Cricetulus griseus: one gene and its partners. The protein of the gene in region 2 purifies or fractionates together with the protein of the main gene of each other region. This does not show direct contact. Links are inferred from orthologs where the notes say so. Each region holds a gene or a part of one and is shown on either strand. Other genes may lie near its edges. The genes, in order: Max, Wdr5, Sesn2, Ncoa6, Pdpk1, Hdac2 and Zzz3.

Region 1 (4,050 bases), on a different chromosome or scaffold from region 2:
CAGTGCTAGGGATGAACCAGGGCCTACTGAAAGTTAAGTGTCCTAAGGAGCTAAATTCCCAAGCGAGAGAGAGAGACAAAGGTAGAGAGCTCTTGTTTGTTTGAGACAGAATCTCATTCTGTAGCTCAGGCCAGCCTCTAAACCAGGGCAACCCTCTGCCAAAGCCTCCTAAGCACTGGGCCTACAGAACTGGATACAACCGTGGACTCTTTTTTTTTTTTTTTTTTGGTATGTTAAGGCTGGGCCTCAATAAATTGCTGAAAACAGGCCTGAACTTCTGATCTTCCTACCTCGGCATCCCGAGTAAGGGCGTTCACGGGACTGGGCAACCAAGCCTAGTTGCATCCAGCTAATTCTCTATAAGCCCCCAAACAGCTGTTCCACATATCATTTAAAAATCAAATAGCTTCGTGGGTAAAGTTGTTGAGGCCAAACCTGATGATCCTAAGTTCAACCCCAGACCCACATGCTGGAAGGAGAAACCCCACTCCCTCAAGTTGTCCTCTGACCGTTACATGTGAGCCATGGCATGCACACAATCACAAACACACATTAAATAAGTGAATGTAACCTTAAAAAATCAATTGAGTAGGCTGAGGTTATAGCCAGGCCCCGGGCATGCCGAGGGCCCTGGGTTCAAGTCCCAGAATAGCCAAAAACTACACGCAAATACACTGGAAAAATAATAATCTGTTTCTAGCATTTTAACATTTCTCTTAAAGTAGGAAAATCGAGGGAGTGTGGCTCAGTGGTAAAGGGTCTAACCCCAGCCCTGAAATAACAATAAGACCTAGCAACACTGAGCTCACTCTCATACAGCAAGCACCAGAGCTAGGTGGCTTCGGACTTTCTACAAGGGGCATGCATTCCTCAGTATCCCAGTCCTTACCTCTCCCTCTATCCTTGACTACCTCATTACCTAATCCCCACAGGCAAAGGCATTATGGCCCTCCCTGTACACCCTTTTCACCATTGCCAACTATCAAATATAACACTTGTCGTCTCTCTTCTGATCTGGATGTATTCTCAGTCTTCTTCCCTCTCCCTAATCTATACCCATTTACTACTAAGTCTCAGACTCTAAAGACAAGAGCTCATGGTGTCAACCCAAATCCACCAGAGAGACACCTACAAAAAGCTTTAACATCAAAACCCTAAGAAGTTACTGGTAACACTGTATGGACTCATCCGGACACCTTTTAGCGTAGCTGTCTCCTACAATGCCACTTTTCAACCTTTTTTTTTTTTTTTCTTCTCAAATGGAAAGTCAGACCACAAGAAGCTGTGACACTTTCAAGATTTAACTTCTGGCTCCTCCCTGTTTCTATTTTGTTGTTGTTGCTATTGTTGAGAATAGCATGCTTTTCTAGTTTTAAGAGTCTGTGGTGGCAGTCATGTGACTTTGGCTAAAGGCGATTATTACTGTGCTTGCAGCTTCACACAACTGTGCAGATAGTGCTTAAAGCTTACTTGCTCCTAAGTAAACCTGACCTGTAAGTCTGCTCTGAAATAACACTACCCTTCACTTCTCACGTGCCTGGGCTGCATCCTTAACTGAACACTCCAGAACAACTCAGTTTTAGCATGGGGCTCGCTCTCTCACTCACCTACCTACTCACTAGGATCTACCACCTGAGAAGCCAGAATCATAGGATTTGCAGCCCCCCACCCCCCCACCTCCAACCCCAGCTGACTCCACCTCACCTTAGCGGTTAAGAGGAGAGTTTACAAGAATATTAAAAAATAAAGAACGATCACTTTTTCTCTCTGACTCCAAAAAGGACCAAAACTGAACGGAAATGAAAATGAAATGGAGAGTAGGAGACGTACCGCAGATTGAAACCTCGGTTGCTCTTCCTGGAATAAGAGAGAAAAAAAAATAGAAAATATAGAAGTTATTTTTACACTTCGAATTCAATAATAAGAAAGAAAATGCCGGCGGCGGAGGAAGCAGCGGGTGGGGAGTCAGCCCGACACCCCTCCCTCCCTCTTTCCCCTCCACTCTCTCCAGCGGGATCCCGCAGCCTGGTGGGGGTCCCAGGCGCCGCCCCTCTTTCTGGCATCCGAACCGGACAAGAGGGGTCCGGAGCACACTGCTCTCCCCGGACCCCCCTCGGGAGTCAGAGCACTCACTCCCAGTCCCCTCACCCCCAGGATCAACGGGTCCACGGGTAAAAGGAGATCGTGGACCCAAGAAGCAGGTCCTGAGCGCTGGTCTCCTTGCCCAGGATCCGGACGGATAATGGGATCCCCAGCCGGATAGAGTGGAGAGGGAGGCCTCGGCACCCTCCTCCACGGGAGGAGGTGGGGGTCCCAGAGGCCGCGTGTCTGCTCCCACCTTCAGTCCCAGGAGGCCTCTCCGGACAGGACTGGAGGGGAGCGAGCGCGGAGCGCGACGCAGGCGGTCCCGGCCCCGGGGGAAGGGGACGGAGGCGGCGGCGACCCGGCCCCCTCCCGCCGTCGCCCCGCTGAGGGCCCCGGCCGCTGTCCCCGCCTGACAACCCGAACGGAAAGGAAGAAGCCCCGGGACTCACGTCGCTCTCCACCTCGATGTCATCGTTATCGCTCATTTCCTACGGCCCAGGGAGCGGCCACTGCAGCGGCGGCCGGGGAGGGGAGGGGTGGAGGGAAGGGGGAAGTCACCGACAACAACAAGCCGAGTGCCCCCACGCACACACTCACTCACTCACTCACTCACTCACACACACTCACACACACACAACACGGGCGACAACCACCTCACTGCAGCACCCGATCAACGGCGGCACGCACGCCCGGTCGGCCCCCTGACACGTGACCGGACTCTCCGCGCCGGGAGAGCCGAGACTTGTAGTCCTCGAGCGTCTGATGGGCAGGTCGGAGAGCGCCGGAGAAACTACAAATCCCATCAGGAAGCGCACACAATCTTCACCAGCCCCGCTTGTTGACAGAGCGCAGGGCGCGTGCGCGCCGGTGGTGGGTGCGAGAAGTGGCGCGGTGCCTCCCGGGAGATGTAGTCCACAGACCGCGAGTTGTCAGGAGATTTTCCTCCCCAAGCGGCGGAGAGGCTGCTGGGAAGACAGGACACGTGGAGGGAGCTGGGCTTCTGGAGCCGGCCACAGTCTGAGCTCTGGGCGCCTGGCCCAAGGGATTGGGTGGAGGCTCAGGGGGAGAAGCTAGCTGCCAAAATAACACTGTCTCTTCTTGGCTAGACTGCTTTTACATTGTCTTGTTTAACGCTTGAGTCGCTCCACTTGCGCCCTGGGGCGTAACCCTCACGGGAAGGAATCAAGCTGCTGCTGGCCAGGGGGCGCGGTCGGGATGCCCACGCGGACCCTCGGGATCTAGTTTGGGGGAGTTAAGAGGCGATACAGGACAAGCTAAAGGACCTGCCTCGCCGGGGTACACTTAGTCCCAAGAATTTTGCTTTCATTTGTCCGAGAGGACCGTCCTTACTCGGCTTGAATGTTTACAAAATCTCGCTTAGGTGGAAGTAAATAAAACCCAACTGTTTGTCGTAGCCCATGCAGATGAAGGAGTGCCCCAGTGCGGGAGAACCTTAATTAAGAACTGCAGAAAGAATAAAAACGGGAAAGTTGTGCGGCTCCCTGTCCAACCAAAGTCATATTTATACACCGAGGTATGAAGCATGACTACATCCCACCAGTATTTATTATCTAATGTGGCAGAACAGGCATGCCGTGATGGGTACGACTGAACAGGGCCCCTCAAAGATCTCACAGCTTGTGGAAGCGAAAACCGGACTACCCTGCCACCATTTTCAGTGTGCACCAGGTCCTTCCTTGATGAAAGAAAAATAATAAAGGCACCTTCTATCACCAGAGAAATTAACCAAACTGGTTAATTTACAACTGGTTTCCAAAATGAATGAAGTCTTGGGTTTGGGCTATGAGTTACTGATTCCTGAGTGAAAACAGTTTTGTTTTGTTTTGTTTTGTTTTACATTTTATCTATCTATCTATCTATTTATTTATTACGTATACAACATTCTGCTTCCATGTATATCTGCACATCAGAATAGGGCACTGGACCTCATAACAGATGGTTGTG
Region 2 (3,500 bases):
ATTTTCAAAAAGAGAATGTATTTTTACATAAATCTACAACAGAGTTCAACTGTAGAAAAAATAAACTATACTTGGGGATACTGCGCTTAGCATGGCAAGCAAGCTCCCTCCCTGAGGAGGGGGCCCACATACCAGGCCACAGCTGGAAGGACCTCAACACCCCTCCAGAAACCCCACAGCAACATGCCCACAACGCTGACCAGAACCCAGGCACATCTATCCAAAAGATGCCAGGGGCCCCAGAACCCACATGTCAGTGACAAGCCACCCTCTTTAACCCCATGTGCACACCATCTCCCCAAGAGAGGGGACAGGAGTCTGCAGGAGTTACCTTTTCCAACCCCTTTTAGGATTCTTATCTTGTCACGCTGGAGTGGCCAACACATGGCTGTCAGTACCATGGGCGGAGGACAGGCCCTCAGCAAAGAAAGCAGAACAGCCACAGACCTCGATGACCTGGCTTCATATGGATTTGTTGGCTACCCAGGCTGCAGCAGCCAGAGCAAGCCCAGAACCTCTCTGCAGCCTTCTGCTGTCCCTGCCTGTACAGAAGCCTCACCCACCCATCCTCTGCATTCTGTTCCATGTCAGGCCACCCTGGGTATGGCCAGCAATTGTGAAAATGCTGTGCAGCTCTGAGTCTGGCCATCATCTCTTCCCAGTTCTGGTCATGCAGAAGCCAGGACGCCAGAGGATCCATTTGAGGCAGAGACTAAGAGAGGCTGGTGGGTTTAGAGGTCAAGGCAGGAGGCTGTACCTGCTGGGACAAGCACCATATTGAACCCCTCCCTCCTGCACAGGTGACCCCGAGCCTCACGAAGAATGGGGAGGACCAGAACCTCCCTAACATGATGCTTGTCCAAGATTTCCACTCTTTTTCAACTGAGTTTTCCTCTCAAAACACTCAGTGCCCAGAGCAGCTATTGGGAAAGAGGCATAGCAAGGACCCATCTTCCCAGAGACGTTTCCAGCCCCTGCTCTGGGGGGAACTTTCTAAAATCCAGGTGCGGATGAGCTCCTATCAGAGCTCAGGGCCACAGAGGGGTCAAGCCCACCTTTTATTACAGTGTATATAGCTTACTGAGTGACACCAGTGAGACAAAGGGACACTGTGCAACCACTGAGAGGTCAGTGTTGACCTATGAACTCCAAAAATACAAAGGGACTTGACACGGATACAACTTACAACCTTTCTGTTTCCAGAAAGTCCTGGAAACACACTGGATACTATTACAGGTAGGGAACATGAACAAGCAGGCCAAGGCTGGAGGCAGGGAACAGGAGTGGGGCTGCAGGTCCTGCTCCAGTGTGTGTACTGGGCAATACAATACCAAAAAGATACAGAACAATTACTGGGAAAAATGATGAGTTGAACTCACTCTTGTAATAAAAAATTAAAAATTTGCTGCCTCTGAGCACAGACCAGGAACTCCCCAGGCAGGGACAGAATTGGCAAGAAATGTCACAGTGGCTATAAAAACTTGGTAGTGTGCACTCCCCTGACCTGACATCTTCAGGGAGTAGGTGCACCAGACCTGTTACCCCAGTCTGGCCCCACACCTCTGCCCCTCGTGTGTTTCTTGCCAATCCAGGCGGTTTCCTGAAGTCTCTTGTGGAGCCAGGACTTAGCAGTCACTCTTCCACAGTTTGATTGTTTTGTCATTCTCTAGTGCTGCTGAGGCAATGATGTTCTCTGTCGGGTGACATGCCGTGGAAATCACAACATCTGAAAGAGAGTCAGTTAGGTGCTACTCCAGGATAAGCAGTGGCAGCACAGGCCTGGCTGGCCTCAGAAGTACAGGGAGCAACACAGGCTTTGGGGGGAGTGCTCAGAATGCCAGGAACAGCAACAAGCACCACAGCCTATGTCTGCTGGGCTCAGGAAATTTGGTGGGTGCCCAGCAGGGTCCTCATTCTTGTCTACATGCCCTCCTCACTGGCCCCAAGCTGACTATTCTCACTGCCTCCTACTACCCAACACAACATTCATGAGGTTGCTCTCCCTGAGCAAGAGGTAACCATACAGCCGCAGGGATACTGGCATTAATGAGATGGCATGAAGTCCACTAACTCTGCTTGTTCCCTGGGTGCTCAGGAACCAAGCTACTCCCAGATGAAGGCAACTGTTGTCAGAACCAGGTACTGGACTCTTTCAAGGCTGAGCTCTGCCCGAGAGATGGAAAACCAGCATCCCTCAAAGGGGCTGGAGCCTCCAGGAAACGCAGCTCACCATGTAGGTTACAAACTTTCCATATTCACTTTTGGGTCCCATTGCCAGCAGCTGTCAGGCCCCAGATACTTGGCCTCCAGTGAGGAAAATAAGCTATACTCCCAGAAGGCCTGGGTCTGAGCCAACACCTATAACCAACCAGTCCCAGAACCCCAGACAAGAGCCCTTGATGCTGCTTCCAAGCCAGTCACATGCCCTCTCAGGCCTGCAGGGCTAGGATGGCAGACAAAACAGAGTAGCAACAGCTGCCTGTGTGCCCCTAAATCACAAGACAACCAAGCACTTGGAGGACTGAGAGGCTCCCCTGGGTGGTTCCACCCACCCATATGGCCCATCTCCAGATGACTGCCCACCTGTGTGACCCTGCAACTTCTGCACAATCTCCTTGGTCTGCAGATTCCAAATATACACCAGGTTATCTTCAGAACCAGACACGATCCACTGCAGTAGCACAGCAGGCAGCCAGTGAGGATAGGCAAGACAGAAGGAAGTTATGTGCTGAGTAGGTAACAATAGGCAAGCTGCCTGGTATCACTCTAACCCCTCATTCCCCCAACCTGGGGACATGCCAAATGCCTCCCATGCCACCCCTCAGTGAGTCTAAGTTTCTATCCAGTCACCACCTGCTCTTAGATCTTCAACCATATTCAAGTGCAAGACACCACAGTTCCATCCAGAAGGGCATATATGGGTTTGTTCCATAGGCTCAGGAAAGCTTCACAAAGACATGAAGGCACCTGTGATGGGTGGCCTCTCAGGAGAGAGCTGGCAGGGTTATAGCAGCTCAGTGCAAGACTCACCTTCCCTGCCTGGTGTTGGTGGCACACGCCTTTAATCCTAGCACTTGGGAAGCAGAGGCAGTTGGATCTCTGTGAGTTCAAGGCCAGCCTGGTCTACAGAGCAAGTGCCAGGACAGCCTCCAAAGCTACACAGAGAAACCCTGTCTCAAAACACAAAAACAAAGACAAAGACTCACCTTCCCACCTGTCACAGAGAAATTGGCAAATATGCAGTACTTCTCGTTCTTGTGGCCAGTGTATGTCTTCAGGCACTGAAAAGGTAGGCATGCATTGTTAGCACCTGTGCTTCTCTCTCACTCCAGAGGGTTCCATGGTCTGAGCACATACATCTGACCAGAGCCTAAACATATTCTGAACGACACATACAAGGGCAAAGCCCAGAGGCAGACTAGCCATTTATAAACCCACATCTTTAAAGGGAATTGTACCAAACTTGTGTATCAAAAGACTTAAGTCTTCTTTTGAAGGCT
Region 3 (2,195 bases), on a different chromosome or scaffold from region 2:
TTGGCTGCTCCGGGTGCTGGTCCTGCGTGGGAGGGAGTCAGGTCATGTAGCGGGTGATGGCACGGAGGGCATAGAGCAGGGCTGCTTGCATCCGGGCCTCCAGGAGCAACAAGTTCACGTGAACCTGGGGCACAGAAAGAGGCTTGCTCACAACTGCTCTGCAGCCCTCCCTCCCAGTCTACCAGTTCCCTGGGCACTCACCTCACCCACGCCTCCCACCGAGATGCCCCGACCTGTGCTAAGAAGGCTCTGTGCAATCTGGTGCAGTGACTGCTGAGGAAGCCCCCTGTCGTGACTAAGTACCTTATCTCCCAAGTCTGAAAGAGCTACCATTAGCTGGCTGCAGTGAAGGATCAAATGCTTCCATATATAGTCTCATTGTGCCTTCCCAGCTTTGAAGCCCAGGCAGTGTCTCTTCTCATTATAAAGGGGAAAAGCTCAAAGACGCAAAGTCACATGTCCAAAGGCACAGTGCTCCTATGTGAGAGAAACTGATTTGAACCTATGCCTGCCAAACTGCCACTCAAAGTCTGTGGGAACAGGCCCCCAGGTGCCTTATTTGAATGAAGTCTGAAATCACACAGTGGAATAGGATTTAACCAAGGACAACAGGCCCAGGTTCCCACTGTGATCCTCACTGGGTCCTACTCTCTAGCTCTTCTACAGGCCTGGCTTGGCTGTTTTTCACATCCACATGGCTGTTACCTTCTCTGAGTGGCGGAAGTGCCTCCAGAAGAGGTGGTACATCCTGCGGGTTGTCTTCTCTGGGTAGCAGGCCACGGTCTTGATGTAAATTTTGAGGTTCCTTTCCAGGAGTTGGTTTACCTCCCCATAGTCGTAGTCATCGTATCTGATGGAAAAGACCCGGGCAGCGTTACTCAAGCCCTGATCTCACAAGCAGAGTGGCCCACTCACCCCACCCTACAGAAGGAGGAACAGAGAGTGGCCAGAAAAGCCAGAAGGTAAGAAGCAATCAGAAGCCTGGTTCCTCTCGGAAAACAGCTGACATCATGCGTCATAGGTTACCAGGCTCACAGAGGACTACTCTAAGTAACACTAACAATGAGCACGCACTATTGAATTCTGACTGAGCCGGTGACAATCCTACAAATTACATACTCTGTCATATTCAATATACTGTGTTCATCAATTTCATTTTACTGAGATTCAAAGAAGGCATTCCCTCCACAGCAGGGAATGACTTCAAATCCAGCTCTCCTACACTCACTGTGACAGGAAGGTCAGTGGTGATCCTGGAGAACGAAGCAGTGGTGGGAAAAAGGAGACACAGCTAAAACCAGACAGGCAAGCTAAGGTCTAGCTAGAGAAGGCAATTAACTGCTTCAAAATCCAACAGCAAGTTGGCAATGAGTTTAGAAGCCGCTTGTCTCTCCTCAGTGTAGTTATGCATGTGCATAGGGAAAACCAGGAAGGAAACACCTGAATACAATAAAATAAGGTGACCTCCTGCACAATTTTGGTGGGTTTTTTGGTCTTCTTGTTTTTTTTGTTTTTGTTTTTTTTGTTGCGACAAGGTTTTGACTGTGTAGACCAGGCGGGCCTTGGAACTCCCAGAGATCTGCCTGCTTCTGCCTCCCAAGTGCTAGAATCGGGGCGTGCATCACCACTGCCCAGCAGTTTTGGTGGTTTGTTTGTTTGTTTGTTTTTTGTTTTTTTAATTTTTTAGAGTCCTGTAGTCTAGCTGGTGAACTTGTTATATAGTGAAGGATGACCTTGAACACCTAACTGATCCTCCTGTTTTTGCCTTCCCAGTACTGGAATTACAGGTATTAGTAAAAAACAAGTCAACAAAGAAAGGAAAGCCGGGGCAGGCGGTGGTGGCGCACACCTTTAGTCCCAGCACTCGGGAGGCAGAGGCAGGCGGATCTCTGTGAGTTTGAGACCAGCCTGGTCTACAAGAGCTAGTTCCAGGACAGCCTCGAAAGCCACAGAAAAACCTGGTCTCAGGAACACCCCCCCATCCCTCAAAGGCAAAAGCCTATCCCAGCACACGAAAGACTGAAATAGATAGGCTGCTGTGAGTTCATGGTCAATCTGGACTGTTGTGAAACCCTACCTTAAAAATAAATGAATAAATAGAGTTTTTTATATATCTTAGATAAACCATTTTATTTCGAGGATTCATCAATGAGAACTCGTGTATGAGACTAGTCAGTGCGAATAATGTTTATAAG
Region 4 (4,140 bases), about 120 Mb from region 2:
GATCCCCACAAGTTGTCCTCAGATTCCACACACATGGCCCCACACACAAATAACTACAGAAAATAAAATGTCAAGGTAAAAAAATAATAAGGTAGAGAAACAATCAAGGAAGACACCAAAGTCAACCTCTGGTCTCCCCATGCATATGCACAAACTCGATAAGTACTACTCCTCCACCTCCTCCACACACACACACACACACACACACACACACACACACACACTCTGCAAGGGGGGAATAGTTCAGTATTGCAGGCTTACCTAGATTGAGCAAGACCCTGAGTTCAATCCCTACCACCACATTCACAAATAGGTGTACAGATACTTCAGCATAAACAATTTTTATACTTAGTAACTATTTGAATGTAACTAGTTTCCTTTGTAATCAATGTCATTTACTTTATACAATTAAAAATATTATTTTGAGAGATCCATGCTACAGGGACCATGGCACACATAAGATCAGATCTCTGCATTAGAAAGACTCAGAAAAATTGGTACTGAATATACATGTGGTTTTGAAAATCCTTATAAAATTCTTTTGATTAAACTCCATCCCTTTTGTGCTGGGAATAAAACCAAGGCCCTTATGTTGTATGCTAGGCAAACACTCTACCATTTAACTACAATGCCAACACCTGAAAGTCTATTTTTTTTCCTCTGGAGGCAGGGCCTTTACTCTATAGCCCAGACTCTCCTGCCTCAGTCTCCTATGTGTTGAGATATAGATGTGAACCACCGTGCCTGGCTTCTAAGTTTGTTTTGTTTTTTAATTATGTGGAGTTTTGTATTGTCTGTCATTCCTTGGTATATCCATGGGCAATGGATTCTAGGACCTCCTAGGATATCAAAATCATTATATAAAGTGATACAATATTTGTGTATCCTGTCTACCTGTAATAGCCAATAAAATGTAAATGTCATGTAAACAGTTGTTAAGCTGTCTAGTTTAGGGAATAATAATAACAAGAAAAAATAACAGTGACAAGGAAAAAACCCTGTATGTTTAGCACAGTTTCAATTTTTTGTTTTATGAATGTTTCTAATCGGTGATTGGTTGAAGCTGTAGATGCAAAACTCAGGGACATTAAAAGTCAACTATATATCACTGGCTGATTTATCTCATAGTCCATTTGAACTCTCAATTGCCTATTTATAACAGAAATTCAATTAAAGTGAATATGATGGGGACCCTAGGTCTCTATCATTATCCTTTTTTCCCCTTTTAAGCTTTTTGTGTTCTTTTGCTGTGCAATAAACATCCAGACGAGGGGGAACATTTTTTTAAACTCTAGAAAGAGGTTCTTTCTTGATGCTTTTTTTTTTGTATCAATGGAGATCTAGGAAATATCCAATAATTGATTATACATTTTTGTATCCCACTCAGGCTTTGTACTGACAAACTTGTTAAAACAAAAATTAATGACTCTGATAATTTAATGGAGTTTGACTTAGCAACTGAATGAGGAAGCCTTAGTCCATATCCAGGAGCCTCTGTCACCGACACAAACTATCTTAGGAAATCAATTACCTTGGCTAAAATCACTACTTGATTTGAAACCATGGCATGATCTCTGTAAAGCCACCGTAGTTATTACATGTCCTTTCCTTCTTCACGATTCTGACTAGTTTCAACAAGACCTTTCAGACGACCTCCCCAGGTGACCCTGCTCTTTAAGCAGCGGCTGTCCCCTTCCAGGAAACACACTTTGGGTCACCGCCCCCAAACAGCCGGGTCCCTCCTTTTAAAGACAACTCCTTAAGTTGATGGAGGTTCTCTCCTTTCCTACCAGTTCCACTCTGTACCTTTTGCTGTCCAGCTCCTACATCCAGCCCCTGCCTGGCACCCTTTCTTTCCTCATCAAGCTCTTCCCTTTTCCTGTTGCTGCCTCCAACGGGACTGGAGGCTCCTCAGGGCTCACAGGTCCCGAGACCCTTGGGAGTCATAAAGACTGGCCATTCAGTGCCAGGACCCTTCCAGGCTGATTCCCGCGTCGGTGACCCACTCTGATCCCCGAGTTCGCAACCCCCATTCCTAAGCAATCTCCTCCAGCGCACGCAAAGAACAACTCCAGCCCTGACAGCCAGGACTCGGCCCCCAAGCTGCCTCCCCTACCCCTGGCTGCTGCTCTGGGGCTCGGTTCACAGCGCACGGCCTAACCCAACTCCACCGCCCGGCACCCCCTCGGCCCGCCGCCCCCTCGGCCCCGCCCCCAACCCCGGTCCCGTCCGCTCCCGGGGTCTTTTTCTCCGCGCCCCCAGCCCGGACCTCACGCCCGCGGTATAGCCGGCTCCTGGGCCGCAGCGCCGCCCGCGCAACCCCGGCCGCCTGCACTCCGCGGGCCCCGACCCGCACTCCCCACCGCCGCCGCCGCTCCCGCCGCGCCCGCCGCAGGCCCCGGGCCCGCTCCCCAACATGGCGACGGGGACACGAGCGCGGCGGCGGGTGGGGCGGCTGCGGGCCCGGGCCGCACTCGGGCCGAGCTGCACGGCCGCCCGGCGCCATCTTCGCGCGCCAGGCCCGGGCGGGCCTCCTCCCCACGAAGCCTGCCGGGCCGGGCCCGGGACGCTCAGCAGGCCCACCCCTTACGGGCCAGCGTCGCCGTCGCCTCACCTGAGCGCGGCCCCGGCCCCGGGCGGGCCTCGCAGCGCCGGCCCGGGCCGTGCGTGCCCGGCGCCCTCGGCGCGTCCGTCCGCCGGTCCTCGCGTGCGCCCGTCCGTCCGGCCGTCGGCGCCCGGCCGCCGCAGCCCGACCCGGCAGGCCTCAGGGAGCCGGTGGGGAGGGGGGATGGGCCGGACCGGGCCGGGGAGGGAGGGAGGAAGGAGAGAGGGAGGGAGCGCGGCGGGGCGGGGCGGGCCCGAGGGGCGGGGCCCTGCCCACGTGACCGGGCGTCCCCTGGCGCGCAAGGTGGAGCGCGCGAGCTCGATTGCTAGCGAGCATGTGAGCCGAGGTGCTGGGTGCGATCTTGGTCTGCGTGCATGTTCAGCGCTGTCCCAGCGGCTGGCTGTGTGTGCTGCGTAACGCTCCACGCCTCAGTGTGCTCTCCCCAGCTATGGGGATGATAGTATTTCCTTGCGCAGAGGAAATGAGGGAAAGGCTTGGAAAGCGTCTAATGACTGACGATAAAGATAACCTTTATTCTATCTCCCCCCCCCCCACTTCGTCCCACCACCCTAACAAACACGGTAGGTGCTCACAAAATAGAACTGGTGAGTGAACAGGTGGAGGCGGGCCTCTGGCTTCCTCTCTTCCCAAAGCAGGGAAGTGTTCTTAGCACTGGGCTGAGCCCAGAGTCACTTAAATCAGTTCCCACCCCTTAGCTTCATGATTTTCTTTACCTCTGTGTCTCAGCTTCTTCCTCTGTAAGGACGGTTGGGGCAGGTGGATTCTTAACGGCTCAGTTATAGTGTCTCATCTAAGAGAGGACTCTGAAACGCTTTCTTTCCACGGGTATTTATTGAGTGCACACTGTGCACATAGACTGGTATGGGTACCACCCTTACCAGCACCGCCAGCGTGCGCCACTATTTTTCTTGCTAGTAATATTCCTCCGTCAGAATTCTGAGCGTGCCACTCTCTTACTAAAAATGATTCGACAGAATCTAGGGGTGTGTGTGTGTGTGTGTGTGTGTGTGTGTGTGTGTGTGATAAAAGCTGCAGAGTGAGAACTATTTGAGGGCAGAAGGGATGGGAGAGGTAATGCGAAGTAACTATAAGCGTGATACGCATGTATGAAAATCTCATGATGAAACCTATTAATAATTATTTTAAAGATCTATTTATTTTTATGTGAGTGTTTTTGCCTGTGTGTGTGTGTGTGTGTGTGTATGTAGCACATATGTACATATGTTCTCCACACGTGTATATATGTGCACCACACACTTGTGCCTGAGGCCTGTGGAGGTCAGAAGAGGTGTTGGGTCCCTTGGAATTGGAGTTACAGAGAGTTGTGAGCTGTCATCTGGGTTCTGGGAATCCCTGGGTCCTCTGGAAGAGTGGCCAGTGCTCTTAACTACTGAGTCACCTCTCCAGTCCCTAAAATCATTTTTTTTAATTAAAAAAACCCAGGCAGGCAAGATTGGTTAATAGATAAATGCACTTGTTTATCAAGGCTGACAAGCTGAGTTCCCTCAGAAGCT
Region 5 (3,500 bases), on a different chromosome or scaffold from region 2:
ATCCAATGTAACTTTAAATGTAACTTCAAATTGTGTGTATGGATTGGGCAACCTGTGCAGAGTGACAGTGACTTACTAGACTCATCTCATTATTACACTGTGTTTTTTTTCTTTCCCCAAACCAGGTTGTTCTGGCCCGAGAACTGGCTACTTCCAGAGAATACGCTAGTAAGTACTAACTCCAGTGAGCTGTGTGTCTAGGATTCAGGGGTAGTGCCACTTTTGTACATATGGCAGGCAGTGTGGGTAGTGGTAGGGCCTATGCTGATTTCAGTCTATGATAAAGGTTAGTCTTCTAGACCATGAAAGCTTGAGTGGGTGATTTTGGGAAAGCTTCAGTTTATGTCAGTTACTTTTATAAATTTACTGTTTTTCACATTTTCTAAGTTAAAATTCTGGAGAAACGTCATATTATAAAAGAGAACAAAGTCCCGTATGTAACTAGAGAGAGAGATGTGATGTCACGCCTGGATCACCCATTCTTTGTGAAACTTTACTTTACATTTCAAGACGACGAAAAGTTGTGTATCCTTTGCATGGTCAGTGCTGTCTGAAAACTACCTTGTGTTTTAGATTAGTGACTACATTGTTTGTTCCTTGAAAGGGCACAGCATGGATTCCCCATGGGGACTGATATCCTTGGAGGCAACAGACAGTACCAGCACATGACTGAGGCTCTTGCCAGTGTGCCCTCTCCGAAGGGGAAACCATCCCACAGTGTTGGTGTTTATCGATAAATAATGTATCTAATGGAGTCTTGTTTTAGCTGTGATTGCTGGACATTGATGCAGAAATGTCCCCTCATTTCTCTAGCAAATGTTTTGGAATGTCTGTTAGGTATTATTGACTCCTGTTTTTGAAAAGTGAGGGCTTGAGAGAAAAAATGATTTTGAGCTTCCTCAAGTTTCTAGAGTTGGTATCAACTTCTCCATACCTTCTTCTGTCCTAAGGTACTGAGTTTGGTCAGAAGAACAACCTGACTGGGCATTTGAGAAGTTCAGGAACCCAGAGTGCTATCCTTTTGTAGCTCTGTCTACTGCTGGTCTTGCTCAGCCCCTCCAACTCCTTAGGGCTGTTTAAATTGCCTTTCTAGCAGATTCACTTGCATGTATGTCCATTGTTGCTGCCCACATTCCTCTTTTTCCTGTGTTTTATTTACTTATTTATTATTTCGAGACAAGGTTTCTCTGCATAGCATTTGCTGGCTGTCTTGGGACTCACTATGTAGATAAGATTGCCCTCGAGCCCACCAAGATCTCTTTGCCTCTGCCTTCTTAGTGCTGGACTAAAAGCATGCACCACCACACCCTCCATCTGCTTCCACTTTTAATGACATCCCTGGCTTCTTCTGCTAGATGCATCTGCTTGTGCTCTCCCCCTCCATTTAGAGCTTATTTACGGGGAGAGGGGCAAAATGCTGTAAGGGAAGGCTCTACCTTCTTCATGGGATTGGTTATGCTTTGGGAGAGCTTGTATTAAAAACTGTTACAGATGTTCAGGTAGTAGGATAAGTTGGAAGGACAGGTGTTGGTGTCTGGAGTGTGTGGGTCTTTGAGCCTTGTAGATGTATGAAGGCAGAAGCATGTGGGTTCCTCAGTGGGCCAGGTTTCTGAGCTGTGAAGTTCTGCTACCAATTCTGGATTTTCTCTTAGTGAGGGGTATGGAGTTTGCTCTAATTCTGGTGCCTGTGGTCCAGACTTGGGGAAAGAAAAGTTAGATGTCTACTAGTGTTTGCCTTCAGAGCCTGGTCTACACTGTCATCTGTTACTGAGCCTGGAGAGACTGGGCAGTGGCTAGATGGGAATAGGGTGTCATTTGGTGTATGTGCTGGTGCTTGTCTGAGGTCTCAGTGAGCCAGTGGGTGGCTGCTAGCAAAGCCTTCGGGGAGGTGATGTGCAGATAAGAGTTGTCAGCCAGTTGACCAGCACTCAGAAGACTCTGGGAGCCTGGAGATCAGAGGCCACAGATCACATAGTTTCTGATGAGGGGCTGCCTAGTTGCCCAGCCTGGCAACCTAGTAAGTGGCCTGTCCCTGGCCAGAGGATTAGCCCATGAACAAGTTGTTGAGAGTTGGACCGGCAGTTTCCCTGGGGCCAAAGTTTATGACAGAGGTGAGGCAGTCAGTAGAGACAGACCAAATGGGCTTTTCCCGGAGGGCTTGTTTATTTTATTTTTAAAAAACATTTATTTATTTTATTATGCTTGCAGTGTTCTGTCTGCATGTATGCCTGCAGGCCAGAAGAGGGTACCAGATCTCATTATAGATGGTTATGAGCCACCACGTGGTTGCTGGAAATTGAACTCAGGACCCCTGGAAGACCAGCTAGTTCTTAACCACTGAGCCATCTCTCCAGCTCCTATTTTTTAAATAGGAAGGTCCAGTAGGTTCCAGGAGAACAAATGTGTTGATGATGGTGGTCTTTAGAGTAAGTAGAGCTTACTGTTTCCCACTATCATCCCTTGTCCCCCACAGTCATCAGTGGCCTCTTTATATTTCATTACATATCTCTCTGAACCTACCTTAATTCCACTTTCATGTTCCCTGTGCATGAAAGTACCCCCTTTTGAGTCCATGGAAGTCCAGGCTCAGGCCTGAGCTTTTCTGCCAGTCCTTAGCACAGTGCTTTTTGTTGGACTTGAAGCTCTGTTACTAGTCAGCTTTGTGTCACTGCAACAAAATGTCTGGGGCAGCTAGTTCTTTAAAGGGAAGAGATTTGTTTAGTTCACAGGTCACAGAAGGCTGAGTGTCCAAATGGCGTGCATGGTGCTGTAGTCTTATGGTATATAGTAGATGGTGGATCATGTATGAAGGAAGGATCATTTAAGGCAGGAGGCAGAGTACGTAGGTGTAGTTGGACTTACTACTTTCATGGAAATCCCCCCCTCTTAAAATTAATTATTTATTTACTTAAATTTTGGGGACAGGGTTTCTTTGTGTTGCCAGGGTTAAAGGTATATACCACCACCTCCCGGCTATGACACTCTTTGAAGAATTTCCAATTACTAGTGAGTCTCAGGAGCCCAGTGATCCAAAGACATGCTGCTGCTTAAAGATCCCCTGACCCCATAGTCCTACCACCTGGAGACCAAGCCTCTAGTCACATGCACCCTCGAGGAGACACCAGATTGTATCAAGACTGTGGATAGCCAAGACAGAATTACACATGCTTGACTTCATCTTCTGTCAGGGTCACAGTGGTAGAATCATAGCTCAGAAGCCAGACCAGAGTGTCCTTACTATGTGATTTCTAAATGAGACTGGCCATGTCAGTTCAGGTGGAAAGAACTCTAGGTCTTTGTTTAATGGCACATACTGTTCTTGGTCTAAGATCCAGAAGGTCTTAATGGCTCACCTACCTCCCATGAGAATGAGATCCAGTGGCTTTTGCCTCACTGGGAATCCTCACTATACATTGCATTGAGAAAGAAAAATGAAACTTTTTGCATGAAGAAATGCCCAGATATGACACTGTCCTTTATTTAGTCATAGTTTCAAGTGT
Region 6 (3,500 bases), on a different chromosome or scaffold from region 2:
GAGCTGGAACTTGTGGCCATCACCACTTCTTGTATGAGTGCATTCTCCCTCTTATACAGTTACATTAGCCTATTTTGAGACTAGTCCTGTGAATCTTGATCCGTACATCCACAGAGCATAGCCACCATCCTGGTACCAGGCAAAAGTCACTCAAAGGGATTTTTTTTTTTTTTTAATTAAGGCTAAAGACAATAAAGAGTGGGGGAAATTACTCTTTAACAAGCATGAATTTCTTGGTCTTAGGTCATGCTAAATGTGTAGAAGTAGTAAAAACTTTCAACTTGCCATTGCTGATGCTTGGTGGAGGTGGCTATACAATCCGAAACGTTGCTCGGTGTTGGACATATGAGACTGCAGTTGCCCTGGATTGTGAAATTCCTAATGGTAAGTGTTGAAGTTGTGGTATCTACTAGAACATCTGATGTGCAGAAATAAATGAATGGGACATTGCAGCCAGAGGCCTGGAACGTGCAATCTTACTGATGAATAAATGATTAGATTGCAAGTCTATGAGGGTATTCCCTGTGTTTTCACTTCCAAGCCTTCCTTCGGGAGTATTTCTCTATCGGGATCTGGATTAGTGTTTGTTAGCTTCTATGGAAACTAAGCTTTCAGTATGTAACTTGTTTTTCATTGTTTTTAATAGAGTTGCCATATAATGATTACTTTGAGTATTTTGGACCGGATTTCAAACTGCATATTAGTCCTTCAAACATGACAAACCAGAACACTCCAGAATATATGGAAAAGATAAAGTAAGAACTCATCTCATGTTAATGCAAGTTTAGAAGGCTACATAAGGTCATATAGAGAATGCTATTTTAGCTGTATGCATCAGATATTTCCTTGGTTTTTAAAGGATTTGAAACTTTAAGAATACTAATATTTTAATCTACTATATCAACACAAATGCAGAACCTTTGTAAACAAACATTTTTATTCAAGTGCAATTTTAAATTGCCAAGGGCACTAAATTTTACCCTTTCTTGCTTTCCCTTAAAATGGTGCTTTGTTTGCATTATCTGAAACGGTTTATTAAAGCTTTATCTCTACAGAATGTAGAGACACGTCGGTATGGGTTGTGATCATCTTTACTGTAGACTAGCTGTGTGATATTGGGCAAGTACACTTGTTGCCTCATCATTAAATGGGGAATGAATTAGTTAGTGCCCACCTCTTTATCTGTGGATTCAATTAGTATGTGCAAAGAATTCCTGTTTAAATGTTGTTTTGTTCAGTAAGTAGTTAACTAAATGAAAGATGATGTTGTTTTGTTTAATGTTTCTACCTGTGGATCACAGGAACTTTACATAAAGTGGTTTTGTCTAATAAATTGTGTTATTTAGACAGCGTTTATTTGAAAATCTTCGAATGTTGCCACATGCACCTGGCGTTCAAATGCAAGCGATTCCAGAAGATGCTGTTCATGAAGAGAGCGGGGATGAGGATGGAGAAGATCCGGACAAGCGGATTTCGAGTAAGAAGCCCTTGCTCTGTATTCTTGCTTTTCTCTGGTTCATCAAAATAAGACTTGAAACTGAAGGCAGTGCACAGGCGTGTTTCACCTAGCACGTGTGGTGATTGTCCTTTCCTCCATTTAATTGCATGTAGATTTATTTAGCTTCCTGATGTCTCAAAGCCTGAAGTAATAATACCAGTCTTATTGTGTGTGAGTACACAGATATGGCTAAGTCCAGAAACTTAAGTATTCCGTTTCCTCAGTGGGCTGAGTTGAATGTGGTAACTGCTTATATATGTATTGATGTATGTAATGATTGTTGAATCTGGCTATTGTCAAATTTATTTATTTATTTGTGTGTGTGTGTGTGTGTGTGTGTGTGTGTGTGTGTGTGTGTGTGTGTGTGTGTATCAGTTCGTGCATCAGACAAGCGGATAGCTTGTGATGAAGAATTCTCAGATTCTGAGGATGAAGGCGAAGGAGGTCGTCGGAATGTTGCTGATCATAAGAAAGGAGCAAAGAAAGCTAGGATTGAAGAGGACAAGAAGGAGACAGAGGACAAAAAGACAGGTCAGTTTGTGGTTTGGTGAAAATTTCATTGTCACTGTTACTGCTTAAGAGTTGCACTGTAGCTTTTAGAAGCTCCCATAGTCACACAAGGGTCAGGGCTCGAGCTGTCATGAGGTACCTTTCCCTTGAGTAAATGATGCTTGCCTCTGAAGCTTGTCGTTTAATGTTTTCAGAATTCTTTTCAAGCGTTTTCAAGTGTATGTGCTCGCATTGTCTTTGTGATAGAGAAACTTCATCTCCTTGATAACACAGACAAAGAAAAAAGAGGATCCATTACATGTCGTGGGATGGGGAAAAGGAAACAACAGAGCAGTCACAAACATTGCTCCAAACTATTTAACGTTGTCTTAGTGAAGCAAAAGTTAAGTTCATTGTCCTTTGAAAAGTTGCTTTAAACATGAAGGCTCTTCAGGAACTAAAGAAACTAAAACAGGAACAGTAGGAAGGGGCTTAGGTGCGGGCTATGGAGGACAGTTTCTGCTGTCTTCATGCATTTCAGAATGTAGCGTGCACGCCATTGTGGCACCTCCCTAGAGGGTTCACATCTCTGGTTGCTGTGCTGCCATAGGCAGAGGTAAGGAATGGGAAGTAGCCTGTTGAGCATTTGTTTCCTCATACTAACAATGATAATGAATGCAAGTGGTAGTTAACCTGTTAATCATCCGAGGCAGCCTCACCATGTAGGTCTGGCTGGTCTGGTTATTTAACTTGCTGCCACCCTCATGATGTGACCCCTGGGATCTAATGTGGGAGGAAGATAGTGACTTCTACAAGCTGTCTCCTGCCCCCTGTGGATGCCATGCACACCCTGTAAATAAATACTTTAAAACAGTGAGTTCGCTTCTGCTTGCTTTTAGGATCATGTGTCTTACAGCAGACACACTCATCTTCGGCTCCTGTCTTACCACTGCCTCTGCCTCATAGTCCTTTTAAGTTTTTCTCCAGCACACACTGTTCACTCTTACCCACTGAGAGTGTGTTTATGCCTTGGGACCCCAAGTGTCCTTCCTCTGACAGACCGCTTTCCTGACCTGTGCTCTACGCTGGTTGGAAGTTCTTCACGGTACCTGCAGTACCGTGATGCTTCAGAACTGGAAGTTAAAGAGGGTGCAAGCATATGGGCATGCTGACAGTGAGCCCCTGCATCTCTCACTCAGAGCCTAAGGACACTTTCTAGTGACAATTCAGGAGCAGTGAGTTTAGTGTAGCTTCTTATAATTTAAGATAAGGCGTATATATTTCATATTTCAAAATAGGTTTTAATCTTTTCCTTCTGTCTTTAGATGTTAAGGAAGAAGACAAATCCAAGGACAGTAGTGGTGAAAAAACAGATTCCAAAGGGTGAGTGGTGCTTCTCACCTCAGAGACTAACAGTCATACATGTGTTTGGGGAAGCCGTGTATACTTGACATACTGGACTAACCCAAGAACGTGGAACATTGTACTCCAAGAGAGAAATCTTCTGAATGGG
Region 7 (4,288 bases), on a different chromosome or scaffold from region 2:
CAACTACTGGGCTGTGATCATTGGGAAAGGACTAAAACTGTAGACATGCTGGAAGACTAACAAGGAGCACATTTTACAGCAAGTGTTTCCTGGTATTTCAATCTGTTGTAACTTGCATGGCCTGAGAGCCCACATCCTGAGCTTGCTAGAAACCCAGGTCTGTGTTTTGACACTTAGAACGGAAGGGGAAAAAGACAAGAAGGAAGAAAGAACTGCAGAGTATAAGGCCCTATGCAACCCATTCATCCATGCTGGCGTCTGGGAAACGCTGGTATCTCTGCACTCAAGGCAGTGGCCTAATAATTCAATCACCAAGTTGCAAACCAAATTAGATACATAATTCTCCTTAATATTTTATTAAATCATAATGATTAAAACAACACATTATAAATCAGATCATGATCACTTCGGCTAAAGAAGCACCAAACAGCAGTTTATAAAATTATCTTAATACACGTAAAGTAAAAACCTAATCAAAGTATGAAGGCCAAGTACAACAAATCTTTGTTACGTATTTTCTTCCTTTTTCCTATTTTTGCATAAGCATACATGAAGTATACGTATGTTTAACAATTATATAAGATAAACTGAATATAAAGCCATTCATCAATAAGGGACTTTTAATGAAGTATGTCTACATTATTCCAACCAAATTTCAATATTGTTGTACCAAGCTTATTTATTTAGCAAAGAAGTACAAACTAAAGCTGTTATTTTCTTCATTTTAACTAAATACAAAGTCACTAAAAAATCCAGTGAGGTTTGGGCATATAATTGTATGCTTGCCAAACATGAAGTAGTTACGGCAATAGAATGGAACCCATTTATTTGCCAACTAGCCCAGGATACCTTTACTGATAAACTAAAATAAGAGACAACTGGTGACAGCCTTAGCCACACCCATTTGGTAAAAGACACTTAGAATTAAGGGAAACCCTGAGTTCACATTTTAGTAATGAGACTGATGCTGTCCTATGCTACCCACCAATTACTGAGCAGCAGTGTTTCTGGGGGACAGTGAGAGTATGAACCTCACTAGAATTAAGCACACTTTGTCCTGCATTCTCCATCCTCCTAAGTCTTCTTACAGAATGAAAAGGGCCAACCAACCAAACTTCTTCAGCTTGTCCACAGAGTTCCCAAGCTGCCCTCAATCCATACATCCAAACTCTTATCAGCCCTTCCACTGAACCACCTTCCCCTAAACTGGAATCTACCTTTATAAACCTGTAAAGTCCTGAAACATTATCATAAACCTCTAACCCGTGACCACACCCACACAACTCAATCAGAACCAAAAGAAACAGGACAGACAAAGGCCCACCCACTAGAAACAATGCACGATGCCGCTGCATTTTTACTCAAAGGCTATCTCTAATCCAGTACCTGTAATCTCTGGCTCCTTTTCTACTCACCAAAAGTGTCCCAGTTTACTTTAGGAATTGAGGAGTTGGTAACTAATATCAGTATTATATTATTTTTATATTTTGGGGTTTTTGTTTTGTATTTTTGAGACAGAGTCTTGATATGTAGCCCTGGAACTCACTATGTAGACCAGGCTGGCCTCCTGCTCACAGAGATCCTGCCTCTGCCTCTGGAGTGCTGGGATTAAAGGCATGCGCCACCATGCTCAGCTAACACCGTTTTTTGTTGTTGGGGGGGAGGGGGAGACAGGGTTTCTCTGTGTAGCTTTGAAGCCTGTCCTGGAATGTGCTCTGTAGACCAGGCTGATGTTGAACTCACAGAGATCCTCCTGCCTCTGCCTCCCAAGTGCTAGGATTAAAGGTGTGCACCACCAACGCCTGACTAACACCAGTATTATTATCATCGTATCAGTTTTACTAAGTGAACAGCTTCAAGAAAACTGGTCACAATACCCATATATTTTCAGGTGTAAAGACCAAAATCAAAGGCAAAACCATGTCAGAGTAACTGAGAGGTGTCACCAATATGACTTTCCTACCTGTCTATAGCATAAGCTGTGCTCAGGCTTAGTTTATCATACAAGTCTCTGAGATGTCTTTTGAGACAGGGTCTTACTATGCAGCCCTGGATGGCCTGGCCCTAAAACTCTCTCCCGCATCCCTGATGGTGGGATTACAGGTGCGCATTGTCACACAGCTAGTCATACAACTCTTTTAAAAGACAGATTATTTCAACTGTACAATTATCAATCTAGTGTAACAGAACAACGCCTGACCTTATCCACTGGATTATTGAAAGGTTAACAGTCCCAGATCAGAAGTCTAGAATTCTATCATGCAGTTATATGTAAAGGATCTCCTTTGTCATCAAGAGAGATACAAGAGATGACTGACAAACAGACAGAGAGCTATATAGAAAGACAGACAGGACAGATTCAAATGAATGCACACTGAAGACAACTGAGAAGAAGTGAAAGAGGGGTCACATGCCCCTTAAACACGTTTAAGGCAAAGACAGGTTTAATGGTCTAAAGATACCAACAGTCATTTCCTTCATCCATTTGTTGAGAAGAAAGAAATGGAAACGTATTTAATCTTCAGCCCATCTCCTACAGCTTGAGATCACCATAAAACAGCAAGGCAGAAGAAGAAAGACGGAAAATAACATGTCTCCTCCCACCCAAGTAAACAAAATCAAACTACCGTTGTCATCTCTGCTGCACAGTTGAGTAACTTACCTGTGTAACCAGAGATCTATCATTGTGGAAATAGTCTTTCTTTTCTTATATCCGCAAGGAGATGAAGCTATGATCTACAACAGAGCTTAAGCTTCAGGCTCTCAGCTTCAGCCTCGGAGACTATAGAAACTCTTAACCGCCTCTCTTTAAAATGGTAAAAACAAAAAAACAAAAACAACAACAAAAAAAAATATTAAATAAGGAAATTAACTCAGCTAGTAATTTACTCTGATTACAGAAGCACACAGTGTCTTCACAGGGATGTTTTGGTGCTTCCTGCTAAGTGGTCTCAGGGGCACTAAGCAACCAGGACAGAAATGAAGAAACTTGAAATATAACAAATCCTTACAAACAACTCAGTTATTAACTTGAGTAAAACATGACTCAGCCCTTTCTTGCAACTTGCTGTAATCTAAGTCCCCCAGCCCCTCCCTGGCTTAAAGATGACCTAGAGGATTTCTGAAGGATTTCCTAGATTTAAAACTGAGTACAAAACCTAGGGCCTAACAACAACCAGCAGACTAAGCACACAGCTTAACTCCTCTGTATCACAGCACACATGACACACTGAAGACTCAGCTGCCCTTGAAGCTTCTGGTGCTTTCTGCCACATGTATTTTTTTTTCCTCCTCCTCCCTCCCTCTCTGTCTCTCTCCTCTCCACCCACCCCCTTCGTGGTTTTTTGTTTTTGAGACAAGGTCTCCCTACGCAGCCCTGGCTGTCCTAGAACTAACTGTATAATCAAGCTGACTTTAAACTCAGTGACCTTCCAAGCGAGGGGATTAAAGGTGTGCACTACCACGCCCAGCCATATAGACTCTCAACGAGAAAAAAGCAATAGTGAGATGAATGGGATTCATATGTGTGATGTGAAATCCACAAAGAATCAATAATGTTTTCGGAGCTAAATACTCAGTCTGGTATTTTAATTAACTTAATTACATGCTAATTCTTGGCATGTTTATAGCTAACTGCAGTTTTACCAGCATGGTATGGCATCTTTTTTGGAAACTATATACTCTAGCTACCTGGGTTATTAGGAGTGGCCATCTGCAATAACAGCACTACAAGAAAGACAAGCAGACGCTTATCATTAACCTTGCTCCTTTTTTCTAAGCATTAAACTAGGTATTTTTAAATGGATACTATTTAAGTGGGGTATTATAAATTAAGGGCTGGTGTAATCATCAACTCTTTAACCCAGCATTCTATCTAGTAAAAAATGAACAGATTACTGTTAAAGGTGATGTGCTGCCTACTTAGGTATAGCCAACAGAATCTAAGTAAGTATTACAATGATTCAATGCCTGCTATACTTATTTTAATGCACGTAAGATTTTTTTTGTCACTGTAAATGCTATAGTATTTTGCTGGTTTTTGTTTTGTTGAGACAGGGTCTCCCTATGTAGCCCAGGCTAATCTAACTCACAGAAATCCACCTGTCTCTGACTCCTGAGTGCTAGACTTACCCATGTGAGCCAGCATACCTAGCCTGTGGCTTTGAGATAGGGTTTCCAGTAGCCCAGACTGACCTCAAACTTCCCTATGCTGCTGAACTTGAACTACCAAAGGCTGGGATTACAGGAGTGCACAAATAATCATGCCTGCTGCTCTTTTTGTTGGTTT

What was found.
Region 1: the proteins of Wdr5 (region 2) and Max purify together in Homo sapiens (affinity purification with mass spectrometry; 4 studies listed by BioGRID and IntAct, with this or other methods). This does not show direct contact. The link is inferred for Cricetulus griseus from reciprocal best matches to the Homo sapiens genes WDR5 and MAX.
Region 3: the proteins of Wdr5 (region 2) and Sesn2 purify together in Homo sapiens (affinity purification with mass spectrometry; 3 studies listed by BioGRID and IntAct, counting the BioPlex papers as one, with this or other methods). This does not show direct contact. The link is inferred for Cricetulus griseus from reciprocal best matches to the Homo sapiens genes WDR5 and SESN2.
Region 4: the proteins of Wdr5 (region 2) and Ncoa6 purify together in Homo sapiens (co-immunoprecipitation; 10 studies listed by BioGRID and IntAct, counting the BioPlex papers as one, with this or other methods). This does not show direct contact. The link is inferred for Cricetulus griseus from reciprocal best matches to the Homo sapiens genes WDR5 and NCOA6.
Region 5: the proteins of Wdr5 (region 2) and Pdpk1 purify together in Homo sapiens (affinity purification with mass spectrometry; 4 studies listed by BioGRID and IntAct, counting the BioPlex papers as one, with this or other methods). This does not show direct contact. The link is inferred for Cricetulus griseus from reciprocal best matches to the Homo sapiens genes WDR5 and PDPK1.
Region 6: the proteins of Wdr5 (region 2) and Hdac2 purify together in Homo sapiens (affinity purification with mass spectrometry; 7 studies listed by BioGRID and IntAct, with this or other methods). This does not show direct contact. The link is inferred for Cricetulus griseus from reciprocal best matches to the Homo sapiens genes WDR5 and HDAC2.
Region 7: the proteins of Wdr5 (region 2) and Zzz3 purify together in Homo sapiens (affinity purification with mass spectrometry; 5 studies listed by BioGRID and IntAct, counting the BioPlex papers as one, with this or other methods). This does not show direct contact. The link is inferred for Cricetulus griseus from reciprocal best matches to the Homo sapiens genes WDR5 and ZZZ3.

What each region holds. Positions count from the first base shown.
Region 1 is NC_048598.1:126,561,541-126,565,590, reverse strand, and holds the start of Max (protein max), read right to left. Parts: upstream 2,801-4,050; 5' UTR 2,571-2,800; coding exon 2,535-2,570; intron 1,858-2,534; coding exon 1,831-1,857; intron 1-1,830. UniProt on the Homo sapiens protein: Transcription regulator. Forms a sequence-specific DNA-binding protein complex with MYC or MAD which recognizes the core sequence 5'-CAC[GA]TG-3'. The MYC:MAX complex is a transcriptional activator, whereas the MAD:MAX complex is a repressor.
Region 2 is NC_048599.1:139,212,473-139,215,972, reverse strand, and holds part of Wdr5 (WD repeat-containing protein 5), read right to left. Parts: intron 3,282-3,500; coding exon 3,207-3,281; intron 2,672-3,206; coding exon 2,584-2,671; intron 1,727-2,583; coding exon 1,626-1,726; 3' UTR 1-1,625.
Region 3 is NC_048595.1:20,769,768-20,771,962, reverse strand, and holds part of Sesn2 (sestrin-2), read right to left. Parts: intron 851-2,195; coding exon 706-850; intron 125-705; coding exon 38-124; 3' UTR 1-37. UniProt on the Homo sapiens protein: Functions as an intracellular leucine sensor that negatively regulates the mTORC1 signaling pathway through the GATOR complex. In absence of leucine, binds the GATOR subcomplex GATOR2 and prevents mTORC1 signaling.
Region 4 is NC_048599.1:24,164,141-24,168,280, reverse strand, and holds the start of Ncoa6 (nuclear receptor coactivator 6), read right to left. Parts: upstream 2,801-4,140; 5' UTR 2,615-2,800; intron 1-2,614. UniProt on the Homo sapiens protein: Nuclear receptor coactivator that directly binds nuclear receptors and stimulates the transcriptional activities in a hormone-dependent fashion. Coactivates expression in an agonist- and AF2-dependent manner.
Region 5 is NC_048600.1:43,647,790-43,651,289, reverse strand, and holds part of Pdpk1 (3-phosphoinositide-dependent protein kinase 1), read left to right. Parts: intron 1-125; coding exon 126-168; intron 169-387; coding exon 388-525; intron 526-3,500. UniProt on the Homo sapiens protein: Serine/threonine kinase which acts as a master kinase, phosphorylating and activating a subgroup of the AGC family of protein kinases.
Region 6 is NC_048595.1:259,859,414-259,862,913, forward strand, and holds part of Hdac2 (histone deacetylase 2), read left to right. Parts: intron 1-243; coding exon 244-384; intron 385-646; coding exon 647-755; intron 756-1,346; coding exon 1,347-1,477; intron 1,478-1,873; coding exon 1,874-2,029; intron 2,030-3,312; coding exon 3,313-3,370; intron 3,371-3,500. UniProt on the Homo sapiens protein: Histone deacetylase that catalyzes the deacetylation of lysine residues on the N-terminal part of the core histones (H2A, H2B, H3 and H4).
Region 7 is NW_023276806.1:6,917,287-6,921,574, forward strand, and holds the start of Zzz3 (ZZ-type zinc finger-containing protein 3), read right to left. Parts: upstream 2,801-4,288; 5' UTR 2,686-2,800; coding exon of another isoform or gene 2,663-2,685; intron 1-2,662.